Callithrix jacchus: one gene and its partner. The protein of the gene in region 1 interacts with the protein of each later gene in a pairwise test. Links are inferred from orthologs where the notes say so. Each region holds a gene or a part of one and is shown in the gene's direction. Other genes may lie near its edges.

The links.
Region 2: the proteins of CDH1 (region 1) and CBLL1 interact in a two-hybrid assay, tested with the Homo sapiens proteins (2 studies listed by BioGRID, with this or other methods). The link is inferred for Callithrix jacchus from reciprocal best matches to the Homo sapiens genes CDH1 and CBLL1.

Annotation. Positions count from the first base shown.
Region 1 is NC_133521.1:26,279,467-26,283,826, forward strand, and holds the start of CDH1 (cadherin-1), read left to right. Parts: upstream 1-1,282; 5' UTR 1,283-1,406; coding exon 1,407-1,460; intron 1,461-2,257; coding exon 2,258-2,372; intron 2,373-4,360.
Region 2 is NC_133512.1:78,216,481-78,220,295, forward strand, and holds part of CBLL1 (E3 ubiquitin-protein ligase Hakai), read left to right. Parts: intron 1-2,237; coding exon 2,238-3,273; 3' UTR 3,274-3,815. UniProt on the Homo sapiens protein: E3 ubiquitin-protein ligase that mediates ubiquitination of several tyrosine-phosphorylated Src substrates, including CDH1, CTTN and DOK1. Targets CDH1 for endocytosis and degradation.

The DNA of each region.
Region 1 (4,360 bases):
ACATCTGTACAGAGCATTTATGGCTCAAGAAACATTGATTGTTTTAATTGTATGGGAGCCTCATAGGGAGACATTTCCGATCATTATTCCCATTAGGAGGGTGGAGAAACAGGCTTTAGGAGGTGGTCCTGACCTAGGGAATTACTTTGCTGACTCACTAACCCATGGAGCTCTACAGTTAAAGAAGACTAGATTAAAAAATAAGAACTCAATAAAGGGGCTGAAGCAGGAAGATCACCTGAGGTTAGGAATTTGAGACCAGCCTGGGCAATATAGTGAGATCCCATCTCTAGAAGTATTATTATTATTATTTTTTTAATTAGGCTGTTCGAGAACTGGTGCAGTGGCTTACACCTATAATCCCAGCACTTCGGGAGGCTGAGGAGGGTGGATCACCTGAGGTTAGGAGTTCCAGACCAGCCTGGCTAACATAATGAAGACTCGTCTGTAGTAAAAATACAGTTAGCCAGTGTGGTGGCACACACCTGTAGTCCCAGCCACTTGAGAGACTGAGACAGGAGAATCGCTTGAACCTGGCAGGTGGAGGTTGCAGTGAGCCGAGATCGTGCCATTGTACCCCAGCCTGGGCAAGATGGAACCAGACTCCTTCTCAAAAAAAAAAAAAAAAAAAAAAAAAAAAAGCTGCTCGCTCAGTGGCTCATGGCTCACACCTGTAATCCCAGCACTTTGTCAGGCCAAGGCAGGAGGATCGCTTCAGTCCAGAAGTTCAAGATCAGGCTAGGCAATACAGGGAGATACAGCGCCCCTACTTCCCCTATCTGCCCAGATTCATCTCCCTACAAAAAGACAAAAAAAAAAAGTAGTCTGGCATGGTGGTGTGCACCTGCAGTCCCAGCCACTAGTGAGTCTGAGGCAAGAGGATTGGTTGAGCCCAGGAGTTCGAGGCTGCAGAGAGCTGTGATCGCCCCATTGTACTCCAGCCTGGGTGAAAAAGCGAGACCCCATTTCCAAAACAAACAAAAAGAATTCAGTCAAGTGTAGAAGACCTTTCTGATCCCATGTCTTAGTGAGCACCGGCGGGGCTGGGATTCGAACCCAGTGGATCGATCCCATAACCCATCTAGACCCTAGCAACTCCAGACTGGTGGGTCACCGGTCTGCCGGAGGCCGAGGGGCGGGACCGCGGGCGGGCCGTCATTCCCGCGGCGGAGGGTTCCGTGCTGCTGATTGGCCGCGGCCGGCAGGTGCACCCTCAGCCAATCAGCGGAGCCGGAGGCGGTGCCTCCGAGGCTCACCTGGCGGCCGCCGCGCCGCCCCTCTCAGTGTCGTCGGAGCCTCAAAGCACCTGTGAGCTCGCGAAAGTCCGTTCAGACTCCAGCCCGGCCCAGACCGGCCCGACCCGACCGCACCCGGCCCCCGCCCTTGCTCGGCGTCCCCGGCCGACCATGGGCCCTTTGAGCCGCAGCCACTCCGCGCTGCTTCTGCTGCTGCTGCTGCAGGTACCTCAAGCCCCCGGCCTTGCGAGGGACGCGTTCTGGCTGCACGCTCTGCGCCCCAGCCCCGCGCCCCTTCTTCTCCCGTCGTCGCTGCTTCCCTTCTTCCAAGAAAGTTCGGGTCCCGAGGAGCTTAGCGGCCTGAAGCCTCGCGTGCTCCGGACCCCGCAGTGATGGGAGTGGGGAGGTGGTGAGGGGCGAGCGCTGCTTTGACGCCTGGCCGCGGGCTCCGCGGGGTGGGCTCGGGCGGGCGGTGGGGGCGTGGAGCGGGGTGGAAGGCGGAGTGTGGAGAAGGGGAGCCCCGGTGCAAGTCGAGGGGGAGGCAGGAGAGGTAGGGACGATCCCCGAGGGAGGGAGAGGGGCATCCGTAGAAAAAAAGGCACCTGCCATGCGAAGAAAGGTTGTAAATAGGAGTGGGGGTCCAAGGGGTAAGAAAGTGGAGTCGGAGGAGGTGGGAGCGCCTCTTGCTCTGAGGACTAGCGCGTTCGCGGTCTAAGGAAAGTGGGGTTGAGAAGAATGAAGACATCTCCAGTAAAATGAGAAAAGAGACCGGAAGGAAAGGTGGGCTAGGTCTAGCGGGAGTGACCCGGCGCCCCCCACTTCGAGAGTTCCTGGGGGCTTGGCCGCCGCGGGTTTCGGGGTAGGGGAGGGTGACGTCGCTGCCCGCCGGGGGCTGGAGGCGGGGGTCCTCCCCAAATCCCGGCGCCAGAAGCGAGGGAGGGGCGCGGCGCTGTTGGTTTCGGTGTGAGCCGGAGGGGACCCTCCGAGTCACCCAGTTCCATCTACCTTTCCCCCCACCCCAGGTCTCGTATAGGGTCTGCCAAGAGCCGGAGTCCTGCCACCCCGGCTTTGATTCCGAGAGCTACACATTCACGGTGCCTCGGCGGCACCTGGAGAGAGGCCGCGTCCTGGGCAGAGGTGAGGGCGCGCCGCCGGTGTCCATGGGCGGAGTGGGGTGGGGTTGGAAAGGGGCCGAGAAACTGCACTCCCACGCCCCTGGGTTGGAATGGGCAAGCTCCCTTCTTGGCTCAACCGACACCCCTTTGGAATTTACACAGATTTGGGGATCCAAATGTTTATGACTGAGCACTGTGGTGGAGAGGGTAGCCCTGCCTGGTTGTTAACTATGTAATAAAGAAGCAGAGGTTGAGGGCATTTACTAGAAGCCTTCGTGTTTCTCTTATTGCCCTGAGGCACTGTAGAGATAGTGTCTCATTTCAGACTGCAAAAACCTGCTGGGTGTGAAGGCCCGGCGGGAATATTCCCATTTTACAGATGAGCAAACCGAGGCTCAGAGGGTGACAAAGCAGGTATCTGAACTGGGATCTGACTACCACGCTCCATTAAGCACCATCTCTGGAATGACTGAATAGCAACCCTCTCCTGGTTACTGGGCTGGAGCTTTTGTTTATACAGATTAAAGCTTTCTTTTTTAAAGACAGGGTCTTGCTCTGTTGCCCAGGCTGGAGTGCAGTGGTGCAATCATATAGCTTACTGCAGCCTCCATCCTCTGGGCTCAAGTGATCTTTCCCACCTCAGCCTCCCTAGTAGCTGGTATTACAGGCATGTGCCACCATGCCTGGCTAATTTATTATTATTATTATTATTATTTTTAAGATGGAGTTTCACCATGACAGCCAGGCTGGTCTTGAACTCCTGACCTCAGGTGATCCACCCACCTCAGCCTCCCAAAGTGCTAGGATTACAGGTGTAAGCCACAGCGCCCAGCCAATTTAAAACATTTTTTTAGGGTTGGCATGGTGGCTCACGCTTGTAATCCCAGCACTTTGGGGGGCCAAGGCAGGCAGAGTCAGGAGTCAAGTGGGCAGAGTCAATGAGGTTAGGAGTTCCAGACTAGCCTGGCCAACATGGTGAACCCTGTCTCTACTAAAAAAATACAAAAATTAGCTGGACACGGTGGCATGTACCTGTAATCCCAGCTATTCGGGAGGCTGAGGCAGGAGAATTGCTTGAACCCAGGAGGCGGAGGTTGCAGTGAGCTGAGATGGGACCACTGCACTCCAGCCTGGGTGACAGAGCAAGACTCCATCTCATAAAATAAAATTTCTTTTAGAGACAGGAATCTCCTCATGTTGCCCAGGCTGGTGTGGAACTCTTAGGCTCAAGAGATCCTTCTGTCTCAGCTTTCCAGAGTGCTGGGATTGCAGACCTGAGACACTGTGCCTGGACTGAAACTTCTTGATACAGATCCTATTTCTCCCAAGGAAGAATGTTTTTTTGTCATATATGTATGTATGTATATATATATATATATATATATATATATATATATATATTTTTTTTTTTTTTTTTTTTAAGACGAAGTTTCACTGTTGTTGCCCAGCCTGGAGTACAGTGGCATGATGTCTGCTCACTGCAACCTCTGCCTCCTGGGTTCAAGCGATTCTCCTGCCTCAGCCTCCTGAACAGCTGGGATTACAGGCACCTGCCACTGCACCCAGCTAATTTTTGTATTTTTAGTACAGACGGGGTTTCATCATGTTGGCCAGACTGGTCTCGAACTCCTGACCTCAGGTAATCCACCTGCCTCTACCTCCCAAAGTGCTGGGATTATAGGCACGAGCCACCGTGGCCAGCCAGGAATAATGATATTTTTTAAAAGGCATGGAAGTTCTGACTCAGGATAAAAATGCATACAAACATCCAATGTACTTCTAGGCCTTATCGTTGTGATAATCTAGAGTTTGCTTTGTTCCGCTTGACTGTTGTCCAGGGAACAAGGAAAGGGGCTAGTTTCTCTTCTGGTTTCACTGAATCCCAGGTGCTTACTTTTATATCAAACTACTTTCTCCTCTCTCATGATTTTAGTTGACTGAGCGAGTATCACAATAAAATACATTTTTAAAGAGAAATCACCCACATTTTCCCTGACGGAACACCTCCAC
Region 2 (3,815 bases), on another chromosome or scaffold:
GTATATATCACTTGTTTTTTGGGTGTTTTCTCTAATGCCTAGTTTTCAACACGGTATACATTCATTTTAAGTTACATAGTAAATTTGATTGCTTCATTGGAATAAAGGATTTCAGATGTGGTATAAAACATTACATAGAAGACTTTTTTTTTTTTTTTTTTTTGAGACGGAGTTTCACTCTTGTTACCCAGGCTGGAGTGCAATGGCATGATCTTGGCTCACCGCAACCTCTGCCTCCTGGGTTCAGGCAATTCTCCTGCCTCAGCCTCCTGAATAGCTGGGATTACAGGCACACGCCACCATGCCCAGCTAATTTTTTGTATTTTTAGTAGAGACGAGGTTTCACCATGTTGACCAGGATGGTCTCGATCTCTTGACCTTGTGATCCACCCGCGTCGGCCTCCCAAAGTGCTGGGATTACAGGCGTGAGCCACCGCGCCCAGCTCTAGAAGACTTTTAAAGGTTTCCTCTTTTGTATAAGTATTGAAAGAAAATTAAAAGGTACCTATTGTTTAAAAGGAAATTAGTTCTCAAGGTACTAAATGTAACTAATGTACTGAATATACTAATATACTAACCTTACTAATGGACTAAATGTAACAAGCTACTAAATGCCACACCTCACTTATGTGGTCCTTATTAGGACAGAAGGTCCTTAGTAGAAGATCCTTAGGACAGAAGCCTATCTGGATTAACAGACCCAGATCAGGAAGTGAAGAAATGGCAATCAGAGTTAAACAGTATATATTATTGTTTTTAAACACCACCCAAGAGAAAGTGCCTCACCTCTTGTTAAGGTGGAGATAGTTCTGAGTTTACACTGAACTAAAAGCACAAAACAAGTGTGCCAGGTGGCCACTAAAGAGAAGCATAATAACATTAGTAAGGAGTGCCAGCCTTGTAGTAAGGATGGAAAAATAGACACAACTCAAAATCAAGAGTGTAGAGCCATTTAGTATAGTGTCAAATGACCTGACAGACATATTCAATGATAGTTGCTTATAGTGCTTAACTGGGGATTAAATACTGTCAATTTAATTTGATATTAGAATATTTTAAGTAATATGAAATAGATATAAAAACATTGTGGAGTAGATATTTTAACCTCATTGTACATATGAAACAAACTCAGAAATGGTTCAGTAACCTCAAATTACTGAGCGAGATCTTCAGATTCCTATTTCAGTTGTCTTTCCCCACTGTGTCAAGAAAGCTGTAACAGCAAGTATGGATTAAATATGATAAATGAAAAATAGTTATAATTTTGACCTTGAGTTATTAAGAAAACGTTAAGTTAAATTTAGTGCTCACGAATCAGAAAGGTAGGAAAGTGTAAATTTGTCTGACAATTCAGAAAAACCCTTTCTTTAAGGGACTTAATAGTCAAGGCTTGGATTGGAATTGTTCATGTTTAATGTTAAGAACCCCTAATGATGAGGCTGAAGTTATTTGTAGTCCTTTGCAGTATCTTCTACTTATTGTTTTCCACTTAGTGTTATTTGCTCAACAAACACCACACTCAATAATACTATACAAGTTTGAATTTCACGATTGTTGTAAGTAATCAATACTTTGGTTTTTTTTTTCTTCCTGGGTTTTTTGCAAATAGATGCAAAACATAAAATTGTTTGAGAAAATTGGATAAATTCTAGGCCTTGGGAAGAGTGAGGTCTCTTCTTTGTTTTTTTTTGTTTTTTGTTTTGAGACAGAGTTTCACTCTTGTTACCCAGGCTGGAGTGCAATGGCACGATCTTGGCTCACTGCAATCTCTGCCTCCTGGGTTCAAGCAACTCTGCTGCCTCAGCCTCCCGAGCAGCTGGGACTACAGGCATGCACCACCATGCCCAGCTAATTTTTGTATTTTTAGTAGAGACGGGGTTTCACCATGTTGACCAGGATGGTCTTGATCTCTTGACCTCGTGATCCACCCGCCTCGGCCTCCCAAAGTGCTGGGATTATAGGCATGAGCCACTGTGCCCAGCCAAGTGAGGTCTCTTCTTCAAATATACTGTTTAAAATTAGGAGTTCTGAAGTTGACAGTAATGCCTATGCTTAATGGCTAATAGACAATAAAGTAGGGAAGATTAAATGTTCATGTAGAATAACTATAACTTCTAATTGTGGACTTTTGCTATGTTTTGTGTAACAGTCAAATTTTGAAAACAGGCGTACTTTTGAAAATTACATAATTTTTATATTCTCTTTTAGTAAATCACATTTTTTTCCTTCTAATTTAGCTGTAGTGATCCTGTGCAGCGAATTGAGCAGTGTACACGAGGTTCTCTCTTCATGTGTAGCATTGTTCAAGGGTGCAAGAGAACATATTTGTCTCAGAGAGACTTACAGGCTCATATCAACCATCGCCATATGAGAGCTGGAAAACCTGTTACCCGTGCTTCACTTGAAAATGTTCATCCTCCTATTGCCCCACCACCAACCGAAATCCCTGATCGTTTTATAATGCCACCAGACAAGCACCATATGAGCCATATTCCGCCAAAGCAGCACATCATGATGCCACCACCTCCTTTGCAACATGTGCCACATGAGCACTATAATCAGCCACATGAGGATATTCGTGCTCCTCCAGCAGAATTGTCCATGGCTCCACCTCCACCTCGATCGGTCAGTCAGGAAACCTTTCGTATTTCAACAAGAAAACACAGCAATTTAATAACTGTCCCTATTCAGGATGACTCAAATTCAGGTGCTAGAGAACCACCACCTCCTGCCCCAGCACCTGCTCACCATCATCCTGAATATCAGGGTCAACCAGTGGTATCTCACCCTCATCATATTATGCCTCCACAGCAACATTATGCACCACCCCCACCTCCTCCACCACCAATAAGCCATCCAATGCCACATCCTCCCCAGGCTGCAGGTACTCCTCACTTGGTATATAGCCAAGCTCCACCTCCACCAATGACCTCTGCTCCACCACCAATAACCCCTCCCCCTGGACATATTATTGCCCAGATGCCACCTTATATGAATCATCCTCCTCCAGGACCTCCCCCACCTCAACATGGTGGTCCACCTGTAACTGCACCCCCTCCTCACCATTATAATCCTAACTCATTACCCCAGTTCACTGAAGATCAAGGAACTCTGAGCCCTCCATTTACACAACCAGGGGGAATGAGTCCTGGTATATGGCCTGCACCAAGAGGGCCACCTCCTCCTCCACGATTGCAGGGCCCGCCTTCTCAAACCCCACTTCCTGGACCACATCATCCAGATCAGACGAGATATAGACCGTATTACCAATGATGATAGTATTTTGAACTGAAGATATGAGGAGGAAAAACAACTTATGTATAGTCAATCTTTTAATTAAGCTTTGACTGTTTGGGGAAGGAAAAGTACCTCTTACGGAGGTAGTATAAAACACATAGGGTCTTGTTTCTTAAAATGATTTTGAATCTTGACCTTAGGATTGATTTCAAGTACCATACTGTAGTACAGATAAGTGGCTCAGTTGAGCACAGCTATATTTTAACATCTTTGTTCCCCTAGTTTAGTAAATTGACCTAGAGGTGACCATTTGTAAAAAAAATTGAAAAAATTTTTTGTTTTACTTCAAAAGTATTGTCTTGTTAAACCCATTGTTTAATTTTTCTTGTGATACATTTTGTTAACCTGTGTAAAAGGATTAAATTTCAATATGGTTGTAAAAATGCTATTTTTATGTGAATTTAAGTGCAGCCATGTACTGTTTTCTAAATCATATGTTTTACCACTAATTTCCCAAAGTTACAATAAAACCCTAAAAGTAAAACTCTACTAGAATTTGCATAAGGCAGACTGTTAAA